Tamandua tetradactyla: one gene and its partners. The protein of the gene in region 1 interacts with the protein of each later gene in a pairwise test. Links are inferred from orthologs where the notes say so. Each region holds a gene or a part of one and is shown in the gene's direction. Other genes may lie near its edges.

Region 1 (10,821 bases):
ATAGGAGGACAACTAAGGTGGCAGTTAGGGAGTGTGGTGACCTGGGAGGGCCTTCTGCACCACATGTGGCAGCTCTGGTTGCAGAGGCCGAGAATAAGAGGCAGAAAGCTGGAGCCTGGCACAGAGGTTCGTGGAGCCACAGAGCCCACAGGAGTGCACGGACGGGAACACGGGACTAAGAAGTAAGCCAGGCCGTGTTCCTTGGGTGGACTACCCTCACCAGCAGAGCCCAGTAACTGGCAACTCACCCCACACACCTGAACCCCATCATCTGTAATGTTGGGGCATCATCCAGGTGCCCCAACCCCGCCAGCCCTCAGTACACATACCTGCCCCACACCCCACCCCAAATGCAGCCCAAACCACCTCTCCTGCACCCCTCACGAGCACAACCTCCCCCTCCCTGTTCCCTGAAGGCTGTTGCCAGTGCATAAAGGTGGTGGGCACTAACCTCCATACCTAGACTACCGCCCCCCCCCACATGGTGTCACAGAGCCTCACCCCACCCTCCCTGAGCTCAGCACATCCATTTATGGCACTCCCAGGCCCACACATACACAGGGCCCCAATCACGTGATTCAGCTCTGGGAACCGCACTTTACAGCAGTCCTAGAACTGTACATGCATTCTCACTTCCCAGCTCTGAGAAAATGCCAAACTGCACAGCCAGGTCACATCTATCCCCTATCCCCAATCCACAAAGACGTAATGCCACAGCTCTACATTTGCGCACAGAGAGCCCCATGCCATAGACCAGCACACACCAGGGCACAGCCCTGGTTACGCCCCTCAGACCAGGGCACCCACACAGTTATATCCTCCCTGGCCACTGGAAGCCCATGTTCACAAGCATCAGCGTAACATCCCCAACCTGTGCCCATACCTGCCCTGAAGCAAATCACTGCACTGAGTTCTCCACCCCGCGCCCTGCTCCCTGCTGTACAACCATCCTGCAAATTCAAGGCCTTAGATGACTGAAAGAAATCAACTCCCAAAGCAAATCAATCAAGATATTTACATGCCAGTAAAACAGCAGAAGATCACTAAGAATATCACAATGCAGACAGATATAGCCCTGCCTAATGACCAAATTAAAATACCAGAGGAGACACAGACGTTGGAACAACTAATTAAAGCTGTTCATACAACTCTACTTAATAAAATAAGTGGGATAGCAAATGACATAAAGGAGATCAAGAACACAGTAGAAGAGCACAAAGAGGGATTTGAAAGAATAAATAGAAAAATTGCAGAAATCAGAGATTAAAGACTCTGTTGACCAAATAAAAAACATGCCAAACAGAATAAATCCAAATAGGCCTTCCCCAAGGCAATACTAATCAATCTGTCAAATATTGAAGGAGAAGCAGAAAATCCTGAAAGCAGCAAGAGAAAAACAATCTACTACATACAAGGGAAATCAAATAAGACTGAGTTCAGACTACTCAAAAAGGAGCAGGGAAGAACCAACTCCATAAGTACTGTCGGAGCAAATATAAGTTATTTTCTAATTGTACCCTATACATTTCATTTTCTTCAATGTATTGGGTACATTTTCTAAATAGCATGACACAAGATTTACATGGTCATGGAAAAAATTTCAACTTGGCTTTCATTTAGAATTCTTTTTTTTTGATTCTAGAAAAGCTTGACATGAGTTACCTATGGCCTTTCAATGAACGAATTAGAGCTATTTTTGCTGGCTCAGTTTCCTACAAAATATCTTTATTGATCAATTTTTCAGCTCCTAGTTAAGGATCAAGATGTATCCTGAGCCAAATCCCTAAAATATGCATAGAGGAATTGAAAGCCATATAAAACTTTAGTTAAGTAACTAGGACCTTCAGCTTTGACAAAAAGATCAACCAAATACCCTCCAGTTATCTACAAGTAGAGCTTTCATAAAAGACACTCTGAAGACTCAGCCAATCACTATGAATGAAGGTAGTATCACAAAGCCCCAGATATGTGCTTAGGAAATAATCAAAAGGACAGGTTTTAGAATCAGAGATTTATTTATTCATTAAACAAGTATTTATTGAGTGTGTACTATATGACACGCTTTGTTCCAGGCATTAGGAAGACCTTAGCCAGTAAAAAACAGTAAAAATCCCTATCTTTGGATGTTTATGTAATTCCCTATTATATGTTTACAATTTTACCCTTCCCCCAACTTTACTTAGGCCAGCTTCAGTTTCTTTTTTTTTTTCTTTGTATACAACAGTCTCCTTCTATAAAAGTAACACAGTAACCTAATGGCAGAAAGTACAAACAAATCAATGAGGAAAATCATTAACACATCTGTGTTAGTTTGTTAAGTTGACAGAATGCAATATGCTAATGTCTTCCAAAAACAAGAATTTAATAAGCTACAAGTTTACATTCTAGTGCAGAGAAAATGTCCAAACTAAGGCATCCAGGGAAAGAAACCTTAATTCAATGAAGGCCAATGGGTCTGGAATACCTCTGTCAGCTGGGAAGGCAGGTAGCTGGTATCTGCTGGTTCCCTGCTCCTGGACTCTGGTGCTTTCAATCTCTGTTTCCTGAGGGGGTTCCTGATCCATTATCTGTGGGCTTTCACTTAGCTCCTCCAGGACACAACTCTGGGTTCTGGCCTGCTCAGCATTTCATGGGAAGGCATGTGATGCTGCCCCCCGAGCTCCATGTCACTAGGCTTCATGTCCACCGGGCCACACGTCTGCCAGCCCCCCATCTCCAAATGTCCAGGTCTCACATCAGCTCTGTCAGCTCTGAAACAACTGCCCTCCAAGCGTCTGCATCAGCTCTGCTCTAAGCTCTCTCCAAAATGTTTCCTCTTTTAAAGGACTCCAGTAAACTAATCAAGATCCACCTGGAATGGGTGGGGTCAGATCACCACCCACAATTAGCATGTCAGATCTCCCTGGAGATAATCTAATCAGAAGTTTCCACCCTGCACTTTTGAATCAGGATTAAAAGAAACCTTGCCTCCCTTTGCTGGGGCACATAATACTTTCAAATCAGCACAACGTCAATAAAAACTTGAGAAGAAAAATGAAGTGGCAATTCACTCAAGTAATACAAATAGCCAAGAATTATGAAAGGATTTTTTACTAGTAAGCAAAAAAAAAGAAAATTAAAAGAAGAGGGTGCCACCCCCATCAATTTGATATAGGCAAAAATCCAATACCAAATGTTGATAAGGATATAAAGAAAGTAGACTTTGAAGCACTGTAGAAAATAAATGTATATTCTTCCATTTAGCCACATTTACCATAATTGTAAATGTAGGTTACCTTTGACCTGCAATTCTATGCCTATAAATTCATCATAAGGAGATAATCCGGAAAGTAAACAAAATAAGCAAATGTACAAGAAGAGTCATTATAGCTTTTTTTAGAGTAGCAAATTTTGTAAATAACCTAATTACTCACCAATAAGCTATTATTATGTTTCCACACAGTGAATACTATGCATCTATTAAAAATAATATAATTACTTAACGAAATTAAAAGATGGCCCAAACTTTTAAAATGTATTAGTATAAAACAATTTAGAGTGATCTTATTTGTAAAAAAAAAAAGTATATTTATTATATATGTGTGTGTGAGGCATGTATATACATATGGAAAAGAATTGCAAAAATGTTTCTGTACTGAATGGCAATTGTAAAATGAGCAGTCAGTGTTGGTGATTTTATAACGAACCTCAGGATGCATGGTTGGGTTCAGAGATAGAATGCTTGCCTGGCATGCTGGGAGACCACGTTCAATTTCCAGTCCACGCAGGGAAAAAGAAAAACGATGGCAATCTCATCCACTACTGTTGAGAATATGAATTAATAAAATATTCCTTGAGGGCAATTTGGCTCTATTTATAAAAAGCCTTTAAAATGTGCATTTCATTTTATTCTGTGATTTCATGTTTAGGAATTTATTCTAAAGAAAAGAGTATGAATGCTGATAATACACATATTTATATAAATATATTTATATACGTATAAAACAGCTTATAGATGAGATGCCTGGGAGGTGGGGGATAAAAAAACCTTAATATTCAACAATAGAGATTTTTTTATCATACATCTTTCTTTTCATTAAAAAAAAAATGACATTAAAGTTTGAGAGGTTTGGGTTTGGTCCTTGTGTGGTCGCCAATGCTAAGGGGATGGCAGAACTGAGTCCCCAGAAATGTAAAAGCATCATTTTAAAGTTAGTAGCAATCACAATGTCAAGTTTGAAGGCCGAAGTCAAATCATGGGAATATCCACAGACATGTGGGAGGGTACAGGCTCCAGCTCTGGGGGATCAACAAGAATGGAAATTCCTTGGAGAAGATAAATGAACAAAACAGGAACTGGCACCAAAACGGTCTGATGAGAGAAGCTCACCAGGAGGATAGGGATCCTCCTCTTTCCTGCTACTCCTTAAGGGGGGAGGAAGGTGACCCCAACAAGATAGCAGCTACTTAGATACCACATTGCTCCAAGGCTGGTCAAATGGCAATGCCAGAGGACGGAATTCCAGCTATAAATGGGGACAAACTTTTCCAATTTCTGCACAGCTTGTTTCTCGATTCCAGTACTTCCTCATGATTATCCTTCTCTAAGCTTTCATAATTCATGATGACCGTGTTCATGGTGAAAGAGAAGCCAAAAATTCAAAGTCCATAGTGCCATGCAACTATAACTTCTGGTACATCAGGTCCCAGTGTCTGCAGCAGATGAGACTCTGCAATGGTCTCAAAGTTGGGGCCCCCTACCATCACAAAGGGGCCTTCCTGTAGCTCTCGCTGCTCCCCCACCCCATTTGTTTCCAAGCACAGTTAGCCTTCTGACTCAGATTGCGATCATAAGCATCAGACAATGCAGGAAAATGATGGCCAGACCTTTCATCATTGGGGGCTCTGAAAGGGTTTTGGCCAGAGAAAACAGACATGTTGATATGGTCACAGATCAGCATGATATCTTCAACCTCGAACTTAAGAGTTGAGCCCTCCAGTTGCATTGGTGATTACTAGGGATTCTCACCCATAAGTCAGAAAACCCACACTCGGAATGTTACTTTCCAGAGCAGGCAACCTTCATGAAAGTGGAATCTGTCCTGCATCACCACACAGGATTAGTCATTCAGGAACCCAAATACCCATTGTCCAACAGGAATTGGTACTCTATTTTGAGAGAAGTTGTGTATCTCAGTGTAGTCAAAGTTCTGGGCCTGAGTTACTTTATGAACCAGACCTCCTAACACAGAACCACAGATCTCAGCCACTTAAGGCCAGTGCTTTCTGTGGAATAGAAGCCATTCTGTAGTGTTCTGATAATCTCCATATGTGAATTCTTTCTCCATGGTCCTGCCTGCGCCTTCTTGATGAGCCAGCTGTATTCCATTTTGCTAAACTGCAGTCGCTGGGTGTGGTTGACACTAGTCAACAATAAGGATTTGAGTAAATAAAATATCATATGTTTATAATGCATAATATTAGGTAATTATGTTTACCATGGAAAATGTTTAACATGGAAAAAGATTCACAATAAATAAGTGGAAAAAGTTTTAAAACTATGTTCCTTTTTGTCACAAGCTGGTAAAAGATAATAAATACATGTACAAAAGAATTAAAAGCAAAATCTGAAACAACTTCAACAAGATATTCATAGTAATTATCTCTGAGTCAGCTGTTTTCATTTTCCTTTAAATTCTCTACAATGATCATGTTTCATGTTTGAAATAAGAAAAAAGTCATTTAGAAGTATACTGAAATCCTTAACAGCAGGTAAGCTTAAAAAAAAAGAAAAAGGTAAACTTAAAAAAAAAAAGAAAAAGGGACATTTGAAAGCAGCTAAATGAAAAGACCCTCCGTTTAAAAAACGACAGACCTTTTAGAGAAGAAAGAGCACTGGACCAAGGTTCCCACACTAAATTGCTGGGAACCTAAGAGTCATCGTTAAGTGATCTGAATCTGTGACTTCATCTGCAAAGTTCAGATTGGACTTAAGGTCTCTTTCACCTCTTACCTTTCCTGAGTCTAGGTATTAGCCTTTATTCTGTATAAAGAAAATAAGTCACTATTAGCAGTGGGCAGATATTAGGTTGGCGGTTGTCTGCGGAGCTATTCACTTAAGGATTTATCAAAAGATGCTTTCAAAAGAGAAAATTTGTAAATGTGGAGAAAAATATGTTTTTTTCAGCAGCCTGTTCTACCAGGCATGGTGCTTGATTTTGAGGGCAGAGAATTACATGAAAAAGAAATACAAGAGCACCCTCACGGAATGTCAGTCTGGTGGGGGAAACAATTATAATAAAGAGTGATAAATGACAACAGCCTTCAAAGATGACTATCCATCTTTGGGAAGAGTATTTCAACATAGAGGGTTAAGCATGTACACTCGAGAAAGGCTATGGCTGACACACGCAAACGGTTACAGCACAGATAACTTCAGGCGGATCGGAGAAAGTCAACGTGGTAAGCGTCTGCCCGGCTGCTCTTAGGCGCCGGAGGCACTATTGGCCAGGTTTCCGGCCAATCTCAGTTCCTTGATCAATTTAAGTCCCGCCCATCCCTGAGAGACCTGACAGCTTTGAAGTCCCGGATGTGGTGAAGGTCTATCGATGCCTCTGGAATAGACTGCCCTGCCCTGCGTTGCCGCGGTCAAATTCTCGCAGACTTCTCTGTCGACCGCCGAGCGGTAGTTTCGGCGTCGCGCCTCGATCGGGAGCTTTTCAGGAGGCCGCAGCCGGTCCCGCGCAGGAACGATGGTGCGTTTAGTCTCCAGCTCTAGCAGGATTGGGTTTGAGGTCCGGTGGCTTGGGAGATGTCGAACCGTCTTTCCTGTCATCTTCAGAGCGGACCGGGGCCATGGGGCATGGGAGCCTGAGCCGACGCGAGGGCCCGGGCAGTGATTCAGCATCTCCGGCCAGGCCGGTCGAGAGTCGGTCCGCTGCGGCCTTTTCCCCGGGACTTATTTCGCTTCCCAGTGGTCTGGGACAGTTCCTTACTCTATCAGCTAGCCCAGTCTTCCCTTCAGCGTCTTTCAGTGAAGTAAATCCCGAACGGTCCAGTATGGCTTCTCGTGTTCTGTGTGGGAGAGATGAGGAGAAAATAGGGTCTTGGAGGCCCCCCAGTACCCCCAGTGAGAACTTGACTCAGAGTTTGGGTTCCTGAACGGCGCCGATTTTCCTTGTGGACCAGGAAATGATCATTAATGATGAATGAATGATTTATCATATCCCTATGATTTATAATTATTCTCATCCCTAGGGCTTAATCAGAAAAGGCCCTTTTCAATCACTTTGTCCAGTAAACTAGTTTTAGAGATGGGAAACCAAGAGTGAGAGCCGGAGTGCTAGAATGAGGGTTACATGATAGGGCTCTGGGCTTCCAGTTGTGTGTTTGCCTTTCCGGCAGCACTCAATCCTTTCATCCCAGTGATTGTTCTCTCCAGTACTATGCTTCTAGACTTGTTTTAATACCATCATTATAATAGTAATGGTTCTGTTGCTGTAATTACTTGTGTCCACCTCTAACTTCCTGAGGACATTTTTGTGTTTGTTGATTAATATTTATGTGTTTACACATACAAACACTGTTTTACATGTAGTGGGAGTTCAAAGAGAAGTCGGACATGCCCCTATTCATAATAGAAAAAAGAAAGGAAGTGTATATAAAGAACTATGGGAGCGTGTGCTGAGATTTTTGGAGAGACGGAGAATTCAAGATTAAAATATTTGAGCTGATTTAAGGAAGAAGTAGGGGTTGGGGGGATTTATTAGAGCCCAGGGTAAATGAATGCATAAGCAAAAACATAAAGGAAAGTTGACAGTTATGAACTTTGGTATTCAACCTAAAAATATATGCTGTGGAGAGTGGTACAATAGGAATTTGGGAAAGTAAGTTCTGTCCAGCTCTGCCTACACTCCTCTTCTTTCCCCATCCCCAACCCACCTCCTCCTCATAAATGTTTGTGGGATTGTCTTGCAACTGAACACAGTAGTGATCTTATATAAGGTTACGTTAATAGACTTGGGTTAATGTTGAATGCAGAGGATTCAAGAACATTTATTTCTTAATGATAGCACATTTTAAGAATTGAGATTTGTAATGTTCTTATATTAATAGCTCTTTTTTTCCTTCACTTTCAGTTTCGCAACCAGTATGACAATGATGTCACTGTTTGGAGCCCTCAGGTAGAATAATAGATTTTATACCATTTCTATGACGTGACTTTTGGTGGCTGCAATATGTTTAGAGATTCATAAGATTGGATACTGTAAGAAAATGGAATATAATCATTTCAGACATCCTGGAACTTTTATTTATCATTAAATTTCCTGGTTTTAAAAAAATTATTTGAGGTTTAACTATGCTTGCCTGAGTTTTGAGAGCTCTAAATTAGGTTTTACTTTATAAATGTGTCTTCTGAGATGTGAGGTTTTTTTTTCCACTCTTTAGGGCAGGATTCATCAAATTGAATATGCAATGGAAGCTGTCAAGCAAGGGTCAGCTACAGTTGGTCTGAAATCAAAAACCCATGCAGTGTTGGTTGCATTGAAGGTAAGTAAACAGCAAATCTGTCTTCTCCTTTGAAAAACATAGCTACGAAATGTAAAGTCCACTGTATACACGGTAAAGTTGTAAACTTGTCTTTATGTCTTATAATGTTTTTATTTAGAGGGCACAATCAGAGCTTGCAGCCCATCAAAAAAAAATTCTCCATGTTGACAACCATATTGGTATCTCAATTGCGGGGCTTACTGCTGATGCTAGACTGCTATGGTGAGTATGGTTATTTAAAAAAAAAAAAAGAAACACTCCCTTTAGATTTATAATTGATTATTCTCTGTTTCTAGAAAAGATCCAAATAAAGTGTTGTAGGAAGTTGTTTGCTAAAAGGTGTATAAAGATTGTAAATGCCTTAGTGCTTGGGCTGATTTACTAAGTATTCAGTTTCTCCATCCCTGTAGTAGTAACTAATAGAATTAGCCATATTAATAATATGCTTTTGAGAAGTCATTGAATGAAGTAATGCTTGTTAAATCAGTGTATATTAATTTTAATATTTTAATAATGCTATGTTTAAGACAAGCTTGAAATTTTTCTCTAGTTTCCAAGAATGAACTGAACCACCCTTGGTTTCTTCCATATATCAATTTTTATTAGACTTTTATTATTTGCAAAACTTAATAATCAAACAAGGATCTTGTTCTCAAGAAGCTTAAAATCTAACTTAACTCTACATAATAAGTATAATGTCTATGATACAATGTGCAAAGTGGTGAGTTTTGTAAAAGTAACAGATAAATTTCCACTAGAGTCCATAGGAGCTAGAGATTTTTTTTCTAATTGAGAAGCAATATATAAATGAAGAGCTGGAGTCTCTGTAAATCATGTAGCTTTTTACTCAGTATTTTCTTTCTCAAGATTATTTTTAAACAGCCTAACTTGTAGAGCACTTAACATAGTGCCTTTCAAGTAGTATGTGAACATGTGTATGTTGGGGGTGGTGGTGAGATTTAGCTAAACTAAACTCATGTCCATGATTAATTAAGAAAGTAATTTAAAGGCAAAATAGTAATGCTGATGTTTAAAATTTTCAAGTTATCCAGCCAGACCCTTGCTCTAAGTCATCTTGACAGCATTGTACTTTTCCATCTACTCTTGAAAATGTAGAATGTGTTACATTGTCAAACATTTCACGAATACAGGGATTCAAGCAAAACCCTTTACACCAGTACTACCCTGCAAAATAATATAATGCAATCTACATAAATAATTTAAAATTTTCTGGTGACTATATCTTTTAAAAGTCAAAAGAAACAGGAGAAAATATAAATTTTTTTGTTACTAAGTATTTGAAATTTGATGTGTATTTTGTACTTAAACAGCATATCTCAATTCAGACTAGTCATTTCTCAGGTGCTCATCAGCCACAGGTTGATAGTAGCTGCCATGTTGGACAGTGTAGTTTTAGACACCTTGGAAAATGGACTTAAATAAAAGTTTTGAATAGTTTGCTGCCTTTGGTTAAAATTTGATCATGCAATATGACATACGCATAAATTGGATAAAGCAACATGGAAAGAAAGGAGCATACCCATTTCTTATTGTTTATCCTCTTGGCTTTAATAGTTAGGCATGAAATCCCCTTTGCCCAGTGTTCTTGTGTGAATCTTGGCAGGTTTAATGATGAGACTACAGTCTAGTGTTAAGCCTCTCCTTTAAAGCTCTGCTTACAGAGAGACGTAACGTTGGCAGGAACATGTTAAGGTGTCTTCTAATATGGAATCTATTTCTCATAATTGCTGTACTGGGGAAATGTTAGTCTGCTTTCAGAGAAAAAGCAATATAGGTATTCTTTTGCTGGTTCAAGAGCTAGAATTAAGACAAACTTGCTGACAGTGGGAAGGATAAGAGAAGAGCGATTGTTTTTATTCTCTTGCTCAGTCCTTTCTTCTCTATTCTGTAAAGTGCTCTGAGACAAAGGTTTTCTAGAGCTAAGACATACTTTAGTCTTTTTACAAACCTCATTTCGTCTCAGACATTGGTTCAAAAATGTATTCTTATGGTTGTGTTTCTCTTACCTTTCTGATTTCTTTATACAGAGGTAATCCATATAAACGATGAAAGGAAGCAAAAATGAAACCAAACTATTTTATTTAGATTGGATTAACTCTTAGGTTTGAAATTACTAATAAAATCCTGTTTCCTTTTTAGTAATTTCATGCGCCAGGAATGTTTGGATTCCAGATTTGTATTTGACAGACCTCTTCCCGTGTCTCGTCTTGTTTCTCTAATTGGAAGCAGTATCCTTTTTATGTTAGCATTTATAAGCATGACCTTTAAAGG
Region 2 (10,924 bases), on another chromosome or scaffold:
CCTTGAATTCTCTCTTGTGGCATGGCTCAGAACCTAGGAGCTCAAATCCGGCCACAAATTTGTGCAAGACAGCCCGGAGACACTTCTCTCTGACTGTCTGGACTGGTTAATTATGCCTATTGGCCAGGAGGGCCTTGGCCATGTGCCTTCACATTCCTTCTTGCTTGGCTTCCTCATGCAACTCTGTGTCCTACCATGTGATGGTTGGTTCTGGTGTCAATTTGGCCAGGTGATGGTGCCCACTTGTCTGGCCAGGCAAGCATTGGCCTGACTGTTGCTACAAGGATATTTGATGGCTGGTTGATAAATCAGAAGACCGGTGTATTAAATCATCAGTCAATTGATTCCATTTGTTGCTGAATACATCTGGGATCAACTCAGGGTGTTTCTCCCACAAATGAGATAACCTCATCAGTTAAAGATGAATAAAGAAGAAGAGAGACTCTTTCACTGCTTCTTCAGCCAGTGAGTCTCTCCTGTAGCATTTGTCCAGACCCTTCATTGGAGCTGCCAGCTTCACAGCCTACCCTGTTGATTTGGGACTCTTGCATTCCCATCGTTGCATGAGACACCTTTATAAGTTTCTTTACAGATATCTCCTGTTGGTTCTGTTTCTCTAGAGAACTCAGACTAATACATTCCAGAAGGGTGGAATCATTTTCAATGTTCCTCCCCCAGGATGTAATGTACTCTGAGAAGGAATTCAGAGATGGCAGAGGCCCATCTCCACGTAGTGCAGATCCAACAAGGCTCGGAGTGACAGGTGATGCTGCCCTTGAGACCCAAATGGGGACCTCTCTCCATGCAGGAGTCCGATGGGAGTCAAGTCAAGCCCCCACCCCACACTTCCTCCTCAGCTCCCTCAGACTTTCCCACACTCCCTCCCTTCTTCCCCTCTGGGGGCCAAGACCCTACCTCCTGTGGCTCCTCTTTTCACCCCATCAACAGAGGTCCTCACCCTGCCCCCATGAGTCTCCCTCTTTCTCCTCTGTCTGGCCTTCAATGCCTTCTGAGACACCCCATCTTTGGTAACACAGGATTCTGGGCTAAGATTCTTGTACCAAACATGGTACTGCACTGACATTCCAGGCAGTTGCCTCTGGCTCCGGCCCATGGGAACTGAGTACGCTCCCACAGTAGTGTCTCCTCTACTGGCCTTGATCTTTAGTCTCTGTTGAGACCTACTGTGGCCAAACGTAAAGCTTCCCTTCTTCTAGCGCATACTCGCTTTTCAGCTCCTAAATATTAGAGAACACAGGTCTTCTGGGAGTGTGGTCCTACACTTCTTTCAGGTGTGTGAGGGTCCCCTCCTCAGGGGCATAAGTCTAGGCATCTCCAGGCATCTCCCTTTTACAGAGAAAATAGAAAATTCTTTGTTGATTGTTTCTGATTGTGATGGTTAGGTTCTGGTGGAAACTTGGCTAGGTGATATCCAATTGTCTGGTCAGGCAAACACTAGCCTAACTGTTGCTGCAAGGATATTTAGTGGCTGATTGATAAGCCAGAAGGCTGGTTTATTGAATCATGAGTCAGTTGATTGCAGCTGTGGCTGATTACATCTGTGATCAACTAAGGGCATGTCTCTGGCAAAGGAGATAATCCAATCAGTTGGGTTTGATTCAATCAGCTGAAGACTTTTAAGGAAGAAGACAGAATTTTCAGTGCATCTTCAGCCAGCGAGCCTCTCCTATGGAGTTCATCAAGACCCTTTATTGGAGATGCCAGCCTCGCAGCCTGCCCTGTGGATTTGGACTCTCATTCCTACTCTTGCATGAAACACCTTTACAAATCTTATATTTACAGATATCTCCTTTTGGTTGTTTCTCTAGAGAACCTAATTAAATCACTGATGGTTTATCTTGTTCCTTTGGATGGGCCATAGTTTCCTGTTTGTTTTGGGTTTTTTGGTACATTTTAATATTTTAATGTGCTAACAACGGAATTTAGCCCTTGATCTGTCTGTTCCTTAAGTCCGAACCCAGATAGTGATATGACAGAGATTTTCTTACATGTCAGCAGCTAACAAAAACAAATGCATCACGAAAACCATTTTTCACAGTCTTTGCAAATTGGTTCTGTGGTGGTTGTTACTCTGCTTCAGAGTTTCACTCTCCTGCCAATGAAACTGCAGATCGGCCTGAGATGAAAGCGTGGTATCTTCTCCTGAATTTTCTGAATATGTGTCTTGTCTTGGTCACACTCTCATGGCGTTGGAAATTTCCTCATTTACAAGGATCTGAATATCTCCTCCTCTCCCTGTGAAATAGCCTCCTCTAGGACTCTTTAAGAGTTTGTTCCTCAGTATTATCAGCAGAAGCCCAAGAAGGTTTTGCAGGTGTGGGTTTTTGTGTAATGGAGTGCACCCCAGTGAGATTCAGAAGAGTCCTAGGGTGTCTTTTTCTTTCTTTTTTCCTTTTTTTAGAGATTTGTAGGTTTACATAAAAATGATAATACAGAGTTCCATATACCCCCTATTGTTAACAGCATGCATTATTGTGTTACATTCTTTACAACTGAAAGAATATTATTGTAATTGTACTATTAACTATAGTCCAAGGACTCCGTTAGGGTTCGTTGTGTTGTACAGTCCTACTTTTTAAAAATTTTTATTCTAGTAACATATACACAACCTAAAATTCCCCCCTTTAGTCACATTCAAATATATGTTTCAGTGCCATTAATTATGTTCCCATTGTTGGGCTCCATCATCCCAGTCCATTGCCAAAACTTTCCCATCACCCCAAACAGAGACTCTGAGCACTTCAAGCATTAATTACCCATTCCCTACCCACCCACCCCAGCCCCTGGTAATGACTCTACCAATTCCTATGATATTTTAAAGATAATTATATTAGAAGAAACACTATAGTTTGGACTGGAGGGGACAGAGACAGTGCAAAACGAAGAGAGCTTTGATCCTCCTAATTTTTTTAAAAAAGGAAGCAGTCTGAAAAAACTGCTCATCTGAGAGCACAAAGCAAGGAACTGAGGCCTTTGGCCAGCTTGCTTCTGACACCCGCATGAATATGCCATCTTGGAAGTGGGTCCTCCAGCCCTGGTCAAGCCTTGAGATGTCTGCAGCCCCAACCAATAGCTTGCCTGCAACCTTGTGAGGGACCCCCAGCCCCTTACAAACCAGGTGAGATAAAGTTTGTGGTTTTAAGATGCTAAATTTGGGGATAACTAGTAACACAGCAATATATAACTAATATACCACTGAAAAAGTACACTACAATTTATTTATTCTCCTGCTGATAGACATTTGGGTTATTTCAACTTTGGGGCTCATAATACAACTGCTATGTGTGTTCTTGTGTGTGTCTTTTTGTGTACATAGGAATTCAAAATCTTTTGAGTATGTACCAAGGAGTCAAACTACTAGGTCATGGGGTTGGTATATGCTTAACCTTAACAGGTCCTGCCAAACAGTTCCCCAAGGTTTTACCAATGCATATTCCCACCAGGAATAGTGTGTACGAGAGCCCAATTCTTCCATGTCTTAGTTTGTCAGGCCTGGTATAATAAATAAAATATCATGAACTGGTTGGCTTAAACAATAGGAATTTATTGTCTTACAATTTTGGAGGCAAGAAGTCCAGAATTGACGTAATGGTAAGCTATGTGTTCTCTGAAGCTGTAGCTTTCTGGTGCTGGCTCAATCTCTGCTCCATCCCATGGCGTGAGGATTTGAAGCTGTACCCACCAAAATGCATTCCTGCGGCTGTGGGCCCACTGTGGGTAGGATCTTTTGGTGAGTAGGATCTTAATAAGATATCACCTACCTCATTCAGGTGGGTCTTAATCCTCTTATTGGAGCCCTTTATAGAGAATGAAATTTGGACAAAGAGAGAGGAAGCCATGGAAACAGGAAGCTGAAAGCAAAGAAACTCAGAAGAATAGGGAGACCAAATGACACTGCCACGCGCCTTGCCAATTGCTGGCAGCCAGTCTTCAGGAAAAAAGCACCATCTTGATGACATCTTGATTTGGAAATTTTCATGGCTTCAAAACTGTAAGCCTGTAAGCTAATAAGTTCCCATAGATAGAGGCAGAGCATTTTTTAAAAACTTTTTTTTTATTGTATACTATAACATATATACAAAACAAAGAAAGAAAAAAGCAATAGTTTTCAAAGCACTCTTCAACAAGAGAGCCCAGAGTTTGCCACGGGCTACCATCCTCTCAGATTTTTCCTTCTAGCTGCTCCAGAATATAGGAGGCTAGAAGGAATAAATATACATTTTCTATAATCATAATTGACTTTTTTTTCTTTTTTGTGAAAAATAACATAAACAGAAAAAAAGCAATGAAATTTCAAATCACAGCACAACAATTAGTTGTAGAACAGATTTCAGAGCTTGGTATGGGTTGCAATTCCACAGTTTTGGGTTTTTACTTCTAACTATCCTAAGATACTGGAGACTGAAAGAAATATCGATATTATTCAGCAATCATAATCGTTTTTTGAACTCTACCTTCTCTGTTTAACTCCACCATCACCTCTGATCTTTCAATCCCAATCTTTAGGGGTATTTGGGCTATGGCCATTCTAACTTTTTTATGTTGGAAGGGGCTGTCAATAATATGGGGTTGGGAGATGGGACTAGCTGATGTTCTAGGCCCTAAAGGAGGTATTTTTCGTTTGTTTGTTTTTGGGGGAAGTACAGGATCGGGGAATCGAACCCGGACTCCTGCATGGCAGGCAAGAATTCTATCATGGAGCTACCCTTGTACCGCAACCCCCTCCCCCGCCCCAGAGCATTTTATGGTATCTGCTTTCAGCAGCTTAGTAAATAGAACATATGGTAATCTGTTTCCTTCTGCCCTCTCCTCTGGCTTCTTCTCTTGCTGCTCAATCATCTGTCTGTCTAAACTTCCTCTCCTCATAAGGACTCCAGTCACAATAGACTAAGGCCCACCTGGGTTAGATTTAACCTCATGTAAAAAGCATCATTGAAGATCCTATTTACAAATTAATCCCACAGGACCAGGGGTTAGGACTTGCAAGGAACACAATTCAATGTACCATATTTCACACACACACACACACACACACACACACACACACACACACACACACACACACCACAGTACTTGGGTATTGTCAGTGGTTTTAATTTTAGCCATGCTAGTGGATGTCTAGTGCTGTCTCACTGTGGTTTCATAAGCATGTCCCTGCTGAATCATGAAATTGAGCACCTTTTCATATTTATTGGCCATTTGGATGTCCTCTTCAATAAAATCCTGGCTCAAGTCTTTTGCCAATTTAATAATTAACTTTCTGTTATTGATCTGTTGTACTTCTCAATATTTTTTAGTATGAATTCTTTGTCAGACATATTTATTGAAAATATCTCTCTGCCCTCTGTGTCTTGCCTTTTCATTCTCTTGATAGTGCCTTTTGATGAACAGCAGTTCATAATCTTAATAAAGGCTAATTTATCAAACCAGAAACTTTTTAGAGTAGGGAATTATCACACCAGGACATGAGTTTTAAAATATTGGGCCACATGGTCCCCTACTTAGGAAATCACTATCCTCAATGCCCACCTTAGGATAAGAGGGGGAAAGAGACCCAGAGAGGTATGTTCAGGTTATCCAGCTTGTCCAAAGCCACAGAGCAAATAATTGGAAGAATTAGAGCTAATTCTGGATTACTCTGACTCCAAAATCTTTGATATCAAGCACTACAATTTACACAAGCAGAGTTATAATACACAAGCACACTTACATCTGCTAGTACTTTGAGGTTTGCAAAACATTTGCATGCACGTTGTTTCACTTACACCTCTCACCACCGACAGATACGAAGACTGGGATCACTGGCCTTTAATGGGACTGGAAAACTGATGTTCTTATCTTTAGCATGCAAGCAAGCGGGATTTCCCCAAATTACTCCAAGTGTGACATTGGGTGACAAGCCTAGAAATGTACGTCATCCATCCCACAATGACACACTTTCAGTGATCAAATCACATGGTCAATGAATATGAAAGCAACGTTTACTCAGCTGTTCGCCAGGTCCTGCGGGTGGGGGCACACAGGTGACCAAGACCAGAACTGCCCTCCAGGAGCCTACAGTCTCACGGAAGCACTTGATAATTTAGGGAGAAATTCCTTTTCTCTTAAACATTCTGAAAGGCCCTACCTGATGCCAGGCTGCCGGCAGGGGCTGAGCGCAGACCTGAACCAAAAGTGAACCTTTCCCTTGGGGAGCTTTTGGTCTGATGAAGAGAGACCAAAAAAACAGACCATAGTAACCCAGGTAGTCAAAGAAATTTCTCCAGTACAGAAGAGGGGAATGAAAGGGGCTATCAGCATCCACGGATTTGGGCTGAAGGGCTTTGTCCCAGCGAGGGCGCATAATCCGGTAGCTCAGAACAGGGGTTGTGGACCCAAATTGCTCGGGGTTCAAATGCTAATCATGAGCTTGGATTTTAGTTACGTCCCCACCTGTGGGCCTAGCTCACGGGTTTGTTGTGAGGGTTAAGTGAGTTCATTCAGCGTAACTTAAGCACTTCAGAGCAGTGCTTGCTCGGCCCCCATAGAATGCTGGGGACACCAAGGAGTCTTATCCAAATACGGGGTGGGGTGGGGGTGTGGGATTGCTTTTGCATATATTGCTTTTTTTTAAATAATAAAAGCATGGCCCGAGAGCACATATTGTTTTAAAAAAGTAAAAATCCGTCCACAGAAGCCGCCTCTGACGTGCCGAGCAAACCTCTACGGTCGTCCCGTCCCCCCGAGGGGATGGAGCGGGCACCAGCGGAGAAGAGAGGCGAGCATGCGCACACCCGCGATCCTGTTACGTGCGCGCGCCCAAGCCCTGAGTTTTTTGGAGGCGTGACCGTAAAGGGCCGCAGCCGTGTCGTGAAAGGGCCGCAAAGACGCAGAGCGCCGGTTGACGGCGGCGAGTCCATTTTGTGGGCCGCTTCGCTGCGTTTCTGCGAGGCGTTCTCTGCGTCCCAGCTGTGAATCGAAGGGTTTAAGCGGAGGAAGCGTTTTAAGGGTAAGCCGGGAATTCTGGTCACGGTTTGCAGTCCGGCAGCGACGTGATCAGCCCTCCCCGGGGGGGCGCGCGTGAGGAGGACGTCGATACTGAGGTTCTGAAGGGGTAGCGGGAGAACATGCGGCCCTTGGACATCGAAGAGGTGGAAGCCCCCGAGGAGGTCGAATTGCTGGAACCGGAGGAAGATTTCGAGCAATTCCTGCTTCCAGTCATCCACGAGATGCGGGAGGACATCGCATCGCTCATACGAGAGCACGGAAGAGCGTATTTGAGGACCAGGAGCAAGTTGTGGGAGATGGACAATATGCTCATCCAAATAAAAACGCAGGTGGAGGCGTCGGAAGAGAGCGCTTTGAATCACGTGCAGAACCCACACGGAGACGCCGATGAGAGAGTGTCGGAATTGTGTGAGAAGGCCGAGGAAAAGGCTAAAGAGATTGCGAAGATGGCAGAGATGTTGGTCGAGCTAGTCTGGCGAATAGAGAAAAGCGAATCGTCTTGAAGGGGGAGTGGCGGTGTGGCCGGCCTCCGGCGGGAGCTGGATTGATGTTTCGGTAATTGTCATAGCACGATTAAACAGCATCCTCTAAAAATGGTAACGTTCTGGGAGTGGTCCCCCAATTTTGCTGCATTAAAGATGGGGAATGGGGGCGATGGGGAAAATAAATGCGTTCGTTTGGTTAGCTGTTAGTAGATACTGTTTTGTAAAGCTCCTCCTCCCGCTCTGGTAATAGAGAAAAGTTCAAGTTCGTTTTCTTGAAACATAAGCGTCAGCTGTGGTAGTACAGTCGCCGGGGATACACCTGCCTCCGCGCTAAGGAAGGGGGAGGCGGGGAACCAGGCTGTTAGAGCAAACTAGGGGAGGGTGGGTGAGAACACAGGCAGAGAGAGATAGAAATTCCCAGATTTTTCTGGAAGACGGGTGTGTGGCAGCACCTTGTCTGTAAGAAGTGACATTCTTTAGATGTTTGTAAAAGTTTTTAAACATCAGGATATGGAAATCTGAGACTCAGAATGTCTTGATGGTAAATTTCTTCCAATTGTGCTTTAGGTTCACAGCTGATGGACTCTGGTCAGCGGGTAAGAGTGGACTTGAAGAAATTGAAACAGCTTGTCATTTTTACTGTTTTGTTTTTGAATGTTTTTTACCCCCATGTAACAGTCTCCTTCATGGTCGGTGGTTGATGACTTTGATACAGGTTTGTATTGTCAGATGTAATTGAATCTGTAAAAATAATTTTTGTTTGAGAAATACTCTCATGAGGGGAATGGGGCTTAATCAAAAGTTGTTTCAGTGGTCACATTTATTCTGTTGTTTTGCTGTGTTTTTGAAATGTTGGGCATGACCTAGTATTGCTCTCTGGAACTTTGGAACATGTAAAGACTTGTGATCAGAATCTTCCAACTTTAGAGGTGCACTGGGAAGCACTGCTGGGTTGCATCTGGTGAAGAATGTATAAACGAGATTGCTTTGGATCAGACTGGGAAGAACTAGAAGACTGTTGAAGATGGAAGATGGATTTGTAAATATTTTGAAACTTTAATTCCTGTATGAAACAAAGGAGGAGAGCTATGTTGTGTAGCACATGGTCTGATATATATTGTGTATTTTGTCAGGTGAGTTTATTTAGACAACCTAGCTCAGAAGTTTATGACATAGAAGTTTGAATAAAATGATGGGTGTGCTTCACCATTGTGATGCCCTCAACACATTATAGGGGCTTCAGAGTATAGCATTAAAGAGACAATCTACAGAAGTGTGGAGAGTCTGGAGAAAGGAAAAAGCATCATTAGGGCTCATAAAGTCCTTTCTAGTTCATCAGGGTAATAGACCTGATGGAGTTGAGGGCAAAATCAAACGTGGAATGTGTTGGTTTGCCTTGAAAAACAAGACTTAGAGAGCCTTTGTCTGAAATTTTCTTTTTGTTCAGATGGCCAAATCCTCTATGTGTGTCAATTAAAGAATTATAAATAAATTTCTTTTGAAATGGATATTCTTATCTGAGTGTTGGCATCATCAAAAGGGGGTAAACTGCTGTAGTTTATGAGGCTTTCAGTAAGCCTTTTTCTGTGAGGGAAAATTACTTTTGGAAGATGATACAGGGAAGAGATGACAAAACGCTTCCATTCTTAGAAGAAATTAAGTTCTGGGGTGGTGCAATGGCTCAGCGGCAAAATTCTCGCCTGCCAAGCCCGAGACTTGGGTTCTATTCCTAGTGCCTGCACATGCAAAAAAAAAAAGAAGAAGAAACTTCTGGCCAAACTCTTGCTTTTCGGCAGTGCAAGCATGTTTAGTCACTCAGTCCGTGGGAATGTGATGTGCTCCCTATTTTGGGCAAAGTATTTTGAATATAAAAGTAATTCATGGATTGGCACGAGGTGTGTGGTACAGAAATGGAAACAAATAACAATAGAGTGTGCTCCTGTGGAAACACTGAGGAGGGAGTCTGGGAAAGCTTTTTAGAGCAAGTGTTTTAACTTGGCCTTGAATGTTGAGTACAGCTTCTGAAAGTAGAAATAAGTGAAGGTGTATGGGGCACAGGAAGCAATGTGAGCGAACACCTGGGGAGTTCCAGCCCACAGGAGATGGCCAGTGAATTGGAACTTCAGAATGTGGAGGTACTTGTGGGAGATGAAGTGGAAGAGGCAAGCAGAGTTTATTCATCTTTATAAGCCTATACTTTTGAGGTAACTGTACTCTGGACAGTTTCTTAGTCTGCTACTGGATGTGCAAAAGCCATAGAAAAGGCATGGTGTCATTTCCAGAATTCCTAAATGAAATTTTGATGGTAGATAAGACCAAATATATGTTCATCATAATGAGCTTTGGTATGTGTTTTGGATTAATGTGTAAACTTGTCATTTAAAAAATAAAATATGTGAGCACAATAAAAATCTTATAGAAGCTATTTTGGCCTGGGTTGTGGTTTCCAGAATCTTGTTCATGCCTCAGGCTTTCTGGGTTCTTGACTACAAAGGGAGAAGTATTTCTGGCAGCCATTGGTAATTTCTGAGCAGGGGAATGATCACGATCGCATTTGTGGTTTAGAAAGGTTAACGCAACTGCGGTGTGTGGATTAGTGGGAGTTTGAGTGAAGGGAGGAAGATGGTGATGGTGCAGAAATACGGATGGGACTTGGGGGTCCTGAACTGGAGCAGAAGAGGGGAAGACTAACTGTATTCCTAGGGTTGAGACATGGTGTCTTTCTCTATCAACTGGACTATGATAAACTAACAGTTGACCCCCATCTTAATGACATACAACAACCAAGGTTTATTTCTCACTCGTGCATGGGCATTGCAGTTTAGTTGCTCCATGTCCTCTCTTTTTTAATTCCCCATTGTCCTCTTAATTACATGCCTAGCTGAAGGAGCAGCCCTTCTTTGGGACATTGCAGGTCCTAATTGAGGAAACTCAGTTGTAAGCTACACTGATTTAAAGACAGGTAATGGGGGTGGGGAACAGTGAGGATAAAGCTGAATATTTGTGTGTGTGTGTGTGTGTATTTATACAAATACAGAGTGTATATTTTTTCCCCTTCATTAACTACACATCATTTCTTTAGGAGTCTAAGCCTAAAGAGCCTTTTGAATTGTTTTTGCCCATTGGGCTTACGCAGAGCATTGTTGTGTCAGACTATTGTTTTATCCCATGCTTATGATAAAAATGCAATTTAGTGATAATACAAAAATATCAGGATTTTGTCTGTATTTCCTGTTTGTTGTAACTCATAAATTTTCCCTTAATTGAATCATATATTAGTAGAATTTAATCAACTTGAAAGTCAGCTAGAAATTTTTGATTGCCTTCTGTCGGTAGTTCTGAAGTCAGTCTTTCATATATCATCAATCAGTCATACCCAAACTCCCCTTGCTTTGAAATTCTTTGCTTCTTCCAAGGAACAGTCTTCACTT
Region 3 (8,868 bases), on another chromosome or scaffold:
TTATGTTCAACTTTGGAATAGAAAAACCTAACAGAAACCATCTTCACCAACTAATAAAAGTTACTACCATCAGTAATGGAACAAATTTACATTATGTGCCTTCTGATATAATGCACTGAGGAAAAAACCACAGTAACACTTCGGTGGTTTTCCTGTTGAAAATGTAGGTGACTTGAGAGGAGAGAATTCTTGGATACAGCTGAGGGCAGACCAGACTCTGGAACTCTGATGGAGGCAGACTAGAGTAGCAACCAGGGCTGAGAGGAAACTGTTCCTTGTATCTTGGATGTCCTTGGGGCTGCTGGCCTCTCCTGGTAGAGCCACTAGGTGGTACAGGGGTGCAAGGAGGTTTCTGGAAATACAACTGTCTCTATTTTCGGAGAAGATTGTTTATCCACCTCCCAGATGTAGCATGGATTCTCACAAGATTGATAGAGAAAATGGAAAATGTTACAAGTCGGATTATGGAATGTGGTGATGGATTCTTTTCCCTTAAAAACTTATGTCATATCATTATAAGAACAGAATATTTGGAACTGACAAAAAGCAAGGCCAAGATGAAACTTTTTTTTTACTTTTCCAGATCCCTCTTATTCAAAAGGAAACCTTTTTTTTGCATTTTAAATTTCATAGTTAAACGTATAGATACTAGAATAAAATGAGACAGCTAAACTAGCTGCACATTAAACTTAAAATTCAGGTATTACAATCACTGCAACTCTAGTAAATTACAATTCCCAAGTGAAAAATAAATAGTAGTTCTAGTTAAATTACAATTCCCAAGTGAAAAATAAATAGCAGTCTTTGTATAATGTTTTACAGTTTTTCCAATACTTTTAGGCTATATCATTTGCTCTTCATTGCAGCCTTATGCTTTAGAGCCTATTATTATACATCATTTGTTAGTAAGGAAACTGAGAAACAGGATTAAATGATTTGCCAGAGTCACACAGTTTGTAAGCAAAAGAATGAGGACTTGAAGCCTGGACTCCTCTTTTTTAAAATTCTATTCTTTCTTTAGTACTTTCCTGAAGTGTGCCTCACTGCCTTTAGGTAGGCATATAAATATAAATTCCGTGGAGAAAACAGTCTCGGTTTTGGTTCTATCTTTGTCATACTGTAGCATTGCCAGTGCTCAGTACAAGTACCATCATTGCTGGTAGAAAGTAGGGGTATGTTCATGTCCGTGTGAACACAGATGCTAACCCAACCACGCAGACACACACATGCATATGCCTTTGGACTGTAGGCTCTTAACATTGTCAGTTCCTCTGATATGGGATTCATGCCTTCATCTTTAGAATAGCCTCAGCTTCTCCATGTTTCAGTAATCTACTGCCATGCCCCAAACTATCCCCAAACATTCTGGTTTAAAGCAACTGCCATCGCTCAGGATTCTGTTGATCAGGAATTCATTTAGGGCCTAGCTGGATGGTTTTAGGGTTTTTTGTATTTCTTTTTCCTAGTCATCCATTCCCCTGCCTTCATGTAGGAGAGCCTCATGGGAACCTGGTAGCTTGTGAACATGAGCATAAGGGTTCTATAAATCCCGTCCACTAATATTATTCATCTCTTCCCTATTGCTCCCCCAGCAGTCCCTGTTCAGCCACCTGTCTTATCTCCTTCCCCCCAAGCAAGGAAGCACCTCCCAAAGTCACTTCTCTGCTCTGTGTCCATTTATGACCAGGGAATTTTCTGTCTTCCAGGATCTCAAAGCACCTATTCTAGCTTCTTCTCTGACTCCCTCTCTGCCATGGGGCTGGAGGAAGAGGACGAGAGCAGCATCAGTCGCCTCATCTGTGGTCCCCAAAAGACATGCTTGACTCCCAGGAGCCCAGTGCATTAATTTTGTCCAGTGGAAAGGCATGTGCTTTAGGGTCAGAGAGGCTGGGTTGTGGTACAATGTGGCCAATATTTTTGAGTCCTGGTGTGTTGGTTTGAAAGGATTATGCACCCAAGAAAAGACATGGCTTAATCCTAATCAAATCTTGTGGGAGCAATGTTTATTTATTTATTTTTTTTTAAAGGAAAGACAGAGAGAAGGAAGGAAGGATAGAAGGAAGGAAGGAAGGAAGAAAGGGAAACATCTTTTAAACATTTTCTTGTTTTATTGTATTTTGTTTCTCTTTGTTTTTGTTACATGGGCTGGGGCCGGGAATCGAACCGAGGTCCTCCGGCATAGCAGGCAAGCACTTTGCCCGCTGAGCCACCGCGGCCCGCCCAGCAATGTTTATTTTAATCCATATTCAATAATGCAGGCTGGTATTCTTTGAGTAGATTATCTATGTGGAGCTTTGACATACCAATTATGGATATTAACCTTGGTTTAGAGGGAGATGTGACTCCACCCATTCCACGTGGGTCTTAGAAGCATTTTGGAAAGAACCATGGAGCAGAGAGTCCAGGCAGCCAGAGACCTTCAGAGATGAAGAAGGAATACACCCCCGGGGGAGCTTCATGAAAAAGGAAGCTTGGAGAGAAAGCTAGCTGACATCGCCATATTCACCATGTGCCTTTCCAGTTGAGAGAGAAACCCTGAACTGTATCAGCCTTTCTTGAGGGAAGGTAACCTCTTGCTGGTGCCTTAATTTGAACATTTTTATAGACTTGCTTTAATTGGGACACCTTCATGGCCTTACAACTGCAAACTTGCAACTTATAAAATACCCCATTTTAAAAGCTGTTCTGAAATGCTAGTGATCAATGAAAGGGAGGGGTAAGGGTTGTGGTATATATGCATATTTTTTCTGTTTTAGTTTTACTTCTTCTTCTGAATAGATGCAAATGTTCTCAGAAATGATCATGATGATGAATATGCAACTATGTGATGATATTGTGAATTACTGATTATATATGTAGAACGGAATGATCAAAATAAGAATGTTTGCTTTTGTTTAGTGTTTTTTGGTATTTAAAAATGAAACAATAATAATAATAATAAACAGCTGTTCTGTTTCTGGTATATCATATTCTGGCAGGTAGCAAACTACAATACCTGGCCTTAGCCAAGTCAGTAACTCCTGGGTCTCAGTATCCTTGTCTAATAAGAATAGGGTGTAGTACCCACCTCTGTAACATGGCCTTTGTGCATGGGTTGATTTGACAGCCCAGGTCAGTCACACGGCCCAGTACCTGTCACAGCTTGTGTGTTCCTGGGAGTAGAACCCTGGGCATTTCTTCCATATCAGAGCCTGGACCTAAAAGGTAGAGCTGGACATTTGCCTCTACCCCAGCCAGGCTCTTGTCTAATCTGACCTGTGAATGTGCAGGATGGCCAAAAATCTTCCCCCCAACATTTCAGATCCCTTTATTCCATCCACTGAACATATATGGCACACCTAGTAACACTTTCAGATGATGAAGATGAAAGGATGAAAGAGAGAGGGCCTTTGCTCCGCCCTCAAGGAGCTTATGTCTAAGGGGGGAAGGGGTAGATCATATCACAGGAGGGCTAGGGGTTCACATTCCCACTTACTTCTTCTTTTCCCTGCCCACCCTCTCTCCTAATGACTCTTCTTTTCCTTGCTACTTGAAACTTGACCCTGTTTCTCTCCTCTCTCCCAGCCTCGCTTTTCCAGGGGTGACCATTCAGTTCTATAGCAAAAGACTGAACAAGGTTTTAAAATATCCAGTTGCAATTTTTATTATGCCAATTCTCACTTCACGTTGGAATGATTCATGATTACAGATAGAACATATGGGATAATTTAAAGAGTATTTTTGGATACTGTGCAACCATCACTTCTAATTTTTATCTTTACACCTGTACCCTGAGCTTCCTTCCCTACCCAAACATTCAAGGAGCACCTATTCTGGGCCTTAGGTTTTTCTCAGCTTTAGGGACAGTTACAGCTAACAAAGCAAAATCCCTGTCTGCATGGAATTACATTCTAAAGGTGGAGTCATAAAATGATAAAAGTGCTACATAATATGATGGCCACTGGTGTAACTAGTGCTATGTAGAAAAATGAAGCAGGGTAAGTAGCAGAGGGCCAGGCGTTCCAATAGACGGAGTAGTCAGGTAAATCTACTCCAAAACTAACTGGGGAGACATCCTTCCAAGGTAGAGGAAATAGCAAGAATGAAGGCACTCAACTCAGCAGGTGAACTCACTGCCCTCCCTCCCATGTGTGGCATGACTCCCAGGGGTGTAAATTTCCATGGCAACGTGGGACAGAAATCCTGGGATGAGCTGGCACTTGGCATCAAGGGGGTTGGGAGAGCCTTCTTGACCAAAAGGGGGAAGAGAGAAATGAGACAAAATGAAGTTTCAGTGGCTCAGAGATTTCAAACAGAGTCGAAAGTTTATCCTGGAGGTTATTCTTATGCATTATATAGATATCCCTTTTTAGTTTATGATGTATTGCAGTGGCTGGAGGGAAGTACCTGAAATTGTTGAGTTGTGTTCCAGTAGCCTGGATTCTTGAAGACAATTGTATAAAGATATCACTTTTACAATGTGGCTGTGTGATTGTGAAAACCTTGTGGCTGATGGCTCCTTTTATCCAGGATATGGATAGATGAGTAAAGAAAAGAAAGATAAAAATAAATAAATAATAGGAGGGCAAAGGATAATATAAATTGGGTAGATGGAAATACTAGTGGTCAATGAGGGAGGGTAAGGGGTTTGGATTGTGTGAGTTTTTTCTTTTTTCTTTTTATTTCTTTTTCCGGAGTGATGCAAATGTTCTAAAAACGACCATGGTGATGGATACACAACTGTGTGATTATATTGTAAGCCACTGATTGTACACCATGTATAGAATGTATGTATGTGATTGTATACCATGTATGGAATGCATGTGTATGAAGATTTCTCAATAAAAATATTTACAAACCAACAAACAAAAAGAATCAGCTAGGACAGTGTGGTTAGAGCAGAGCTAGGGATGGGAAGAGACTGGAGTGAGTCAGAGAGAGCCAGTGGCCAGTCACTGACAAGTTAGTGCCCTGGAGGCCATCCAGGACTTTGATTTTTATTCTGAGAGGGGAAACTGTTGGAGGGTTTTGAGCAGGGTGGGTGATGGGATATGACCTTTGTGCGAAGGCTTTTTGTGGCTACTCCGTGAAGAATAGACTGTCAGAGATCAAGAGTGAAAGCTCAGTGATCATTTGAAGCCCTCTGAGTAAGAAACGAAAGCTTGAATCAGGGTAGTGGAAGTGGAAGTGATAAGAAGTGATTAAATTGGCGATTTATTTTAAAAAGCAGAGCCAAAACGCTATGTGCATTCTAAAGTCGTGGGCCAACTGAATTGCTCAACAAGTTTGAATGTGATTATTCAAAGAAGAAACGCAAAATCATTTAGAAGCACAAGCAGCTTATTCATTGCTAAGAAATGCATAATACCCGTGGTCGAGGGGCATTACTAATATTAGACTATGAAATAAAGTCTGCCTGCAAAAGATTATCAGATGCTGATTTTGCAGAAATTTTTATACCGCACTATTAAGAAAAAGTTAAAAAGGAGGAAGTGTACAACATTATTTTCTAACTCCAGAAAAGTCCCTGCTTAAATACCGTTTTCTTCATGTCTCTGTAAGGATTTGTGACTCCCGCAAGACAAGCACTTCTGTGGTCAGTAGGGCCAAATCGATAATCTTCTGGGTGAGTCTATATTCAAAAGCAGGGAAATGTGTTAACAGAACTTCACGCAAATGGAATCTGGTGTCCGCAGATGCACGAAAGAAAACTGAATTGTGCGAGGCAGTCGAAGGTGCGGTGGGATGGCTAATCTTTTCAACTTGAGCGGGTCTGCCCTCTGAAGTAAGGTCTTCCTGCCCTCTGGGTCCTTGGGTTCCAGCAGGGCGCCGCTTCGGGGCTTGGCTGCAGTTCAGCGGCGGTTCCCAGGGTCGGCCGGCCCCTCCTCTGACCACACCCTCCTCGCGCCGGGCTGGCGCGCCGACCGCCCTTGAGGCCTTGTGGGCGGGGCCTGCGCAGCCGCCTGGCCCCCGGCGCGCACCACCCTCCGCCCTTCTTGGCGGCGCGTCTCGGCGGACACGCACTTCCTGCGAGGCTTCTGTGTGGACCTTGACCGAGCCGAATCGAGTGGACCCCTCTGAGCGGTTCGCGATGGTGGACGAACTGGTGTTGCTGCTGCACGCCCTCCTGATGCGGCATCGTGCTCTGAGCATCGAGAACAGCCAGCTCATGGAGCAGCTGCGGCTGCTGGTGTGCGAGAGAGCTAGCCTGCTGCGCCAGGTACGTCCGCCCAGCTGCCCGGTGCCCTTCCCGGAAACGTTTAACGGCGAGAGCTCCCGGCTCCCCGAGTTTATCGTGCAGACGGCGTCTTACATGCTCGTGAACGAGAACCGGTTTTGCAACGACGCCATGAAGGTCGCATTCCTAATCAGCCTCCTCAGCGGGGAAGCCGAGGAGTGGGTGGTTCCCTACATCGAGATGGACAGCCCCATCCTTGGTGATTACCGGGCCTTCCTCGATGAGATGAAGCAGTACTTTGGCTGGGATGACGGCGAAGACGACGACGATGACGATGAAGATGACATTTACTAGGCCCAGAGAGCCCAGGGCCTAGGGTAGGGGGTTAGATGCCCCCGCACGTCGCCGCCACCCTCCTCCTCTTCTCCTTCCTCTCCTCTTTCCCCTCTCTGGAAGCCGCCACACTCCTCTTCTTGCTCTGGCCCTCTTCCCTCCCCCTGCCCAGTCCCCTCGTAGAGCTTGCCTTTGTTCAAAGGAGTGCTCCAGTTACCTGCTGCTCTGAAGTGCTCTACCTGCCTTTCCACTCTGCCAGCCCCAGAACCCCTCCCCTGCGAATATGGACTGTGTCCTGAGCCCCAGTGGTGGGCCAGGTCCCTGCGACACACTGGACAGACAACACCACAGCGGTGCTGCTGCCAGGCCTGCATCTGCCCAGAGACCTACGCTGCCACTTCACCTGCACACATCACATCGCCACAGATCATCGCCTTTGGAGATAAGGACCAACCTCAAAGCTGCCTGAGTTGGCTACACCTCCTTGGACGCTGATTTGGACAGCCCACCAACCCCAGAAGAGGGCTAGTGTTTCAGCCTGTTTTGTTTCCTACCTACTCCCAGAGTCCTCCCCTGCCCCACTAGATTGCTGCAGGGGCCTCGTATACGTGGTAGCCAAATCGTGACATTCTTTTTCTCCTGCGCACCCAGTCTTGCACACTTGTCATTTTTCTTCCAAAATTGCAGCGGTCCCACAGATGTATGCATTTGGACAAAAAACTAAAAATAAACCAAATGAAGGAAAACAGGCTCTCAGCCCTCCTCCTCAGTGCTACCTGGAAAAAACCTTTTCATTCTTTTCAATAAATATCAAGCACTACTAAAAAAAAAAAGAAATTATTGTCTCTTAATGATTAAGTGCTATCACTGATCTTTCTCCCTTCTACTCTGGCTTCCTGTATTCCCACTGAGATCAGGTAACCCAGTTTGGTTACAGCATTCCTTACTGTCATCTGTAAGGCATGGAAGACAGCCACCACGGGGCTTTATAGGGATATTGGTGCTCTCCTCACCAAGGTATTTCTTAAAGCCTTGGTGAAGGGAGTGTCCTCTGGGCCCTCTAGGGTGGCATGGGTGGCTGATAAGGTGGCACATCATCCCACACACGGACAGTTTAGAGAGTGAAAGGGGAGGCTATTAATAATTAGACTTGTACCACAGGCGTAGACCTGGATACATGTACAACATTCCTATTTCCTTGATCCCTTTTGGATTCCTTTCTCAACACTGCCAGGGAAGTTCTGGACACTACTCCTTATTGCTTCTGAGCTGCAGCTGAGTTCAGGCTTCAGTTATCCAAGTAACATTGTTTTAATGCTATTTTCAGGTGCTTGAGTTAAAGCTTGGATAAGTCCACACCTGTGATTAATATAGCCCACCTTTAACATTCAGATACCCTTAGATTCCCCTTCTGTACATGTGTCCCAGATTCCTACCTCTACAAATTGGCAAGATGCTTGGCTCTCTCCTGAACTGAGCCTTGTACTACCATCTGGACTCTGCTGGGCTGCCTTTGTGGGTGTGGAGGGCTCGGAGGCCATGAGGGTTAGAGTGGGCCCTGAGGACAGTCTGATTATCTTTGTGAGGCAGTTTCCGTTGATGAAATCATTGAGTTCAAGGCAGAGAAAAATTGTTGGAAGTTTGTGGGGACTACCTCTGACAGCCAGGACGCTTCAGGAGCATTTGATGGGTCCAAAGTTCTCATCTGTATCTGCCCAAGCCCTACCTTAGACCTATACTTAAATTAGATTATACATTTCTTTGTTGCTTAAGGCCTCTTCTTTCTTTCTTTTTTTATACAGTTTTATTGAGATACATATTCACATACTATATAATCATCTAAAGTACACAATCAATGGTTCACAGTATCATCGTATAGTTATATATTATCACCACAGACTTACACATTTCCTTATTACTTAAGGCCTCTTGAAACAAGAATGGTCTTTTACTCTTACTCCAAGCATCACACAGTCACTTCCCAGGTATGGGAAGTAGGAAGAAGGTCAGAGATAAACAGGAGCAGAGCAGACTTAGTAAGTAGATACGAGAGCATGACAAGAACCCATTTATTCTTTGCCATCTGAAGTGGAGCCCGAACAAAAGCCACTTCACCTAGTGAATGGACAAAGTCCAGAACAAGAGTGATTTCTAGGGCTGAAGACAGCTGTTTGTGGAGACAGAGGTGGATACATCTTAGCAAAGGAGGTTGAGGCCTGGGTGGGGATGAGACCTGGGGCTCTTTGGGGAGCTGCTTCCTCCAAACCTGAATAAAAAGTACTACTGGTTTGGATTCGTCCATCACTTCTGGTAGCACCCAAACACCCCTTGGAAGAGATGGCAGATTAAATACGGGACATGATATGTATGAGGCCAGA

The links.
Region 2: the proteins of PSMA1 (region 1) and MRFAP1L1 interact in binary tests that used the Homo sapiens proteins (3 or more experiments, as listed by UniProt). The two-hybrid records come from large-scale screens. The link is inferred for Tamandua tetradactyla from reciprocal best matches to the Homo sapiens genes PSMA1 and MRFAP1L1.
Region 3: the proteins of PSMA1 (region 1) and LDOC1 interact in binary tests that used the Homo sapiens proteins (3 or more experiments, as listed by UniProt). The two-hybrid records come from large-scale screens. The link is inferred for Tamandua tetradactyla from reciprocal best matches to the Homo sapiens genes PSMA1 and LDOC1.

Annotation. Positions count from the first base shown.
Region 1 is NC_135334.1:89,909,690-89,920,510, reverse strand, and holds the start of PSMA1 (proteasome subunit alpha type-1), read left to right. Parts: upstream 1-6,603; 5' UTR 6,604-6,731; coding exon 6,732-6,734; intron 6,735-8,117; coding exon 8,118-8,162; intron 8,163-8,427; coding exon 8,428-8,529; intron 8,530-8,647; coding exon 8,648-8,751; intron 8,752-10,689; coding exon 10,690-10,778; intron 10,779-10,821. UniProt on the Homo sapiens protein: Component of the 20S core proteasome complex involved in the proteolytic degradation of most intracellular proteins. This complex plays numerous essential roles within the cell by associating with different regulatory particles.
Region 2 is NC_135345.1:6,190,423-6,201,346, forward strand, and holds MRFAP1L1 (MORF4 family-associated protein 1-like 1), read left to right. Parts: upstream 1-6,872; 5' UTR 6,873-7,127; coding exon 7,128-7,511; 3' UTR 7,512-7,563; intron 7,564-8,060; 3' UTR 8,061-9,918; downstream 9,919-10,924.
Region 3 is NC_135353.1:16,897,979-16,906,846, reverse strand, and holds LDOC1 (protein LDOC1), read left to right. Parts: upstream 1-5,950; 5' UTR 5,951-6,070; coding exon 6,071-6,511; 3' UTR 6,512-7,316; downstream 7,317-8,868. UniProt on the Homo sapiens protein: May have an important role in the development and/or progression of some cancers.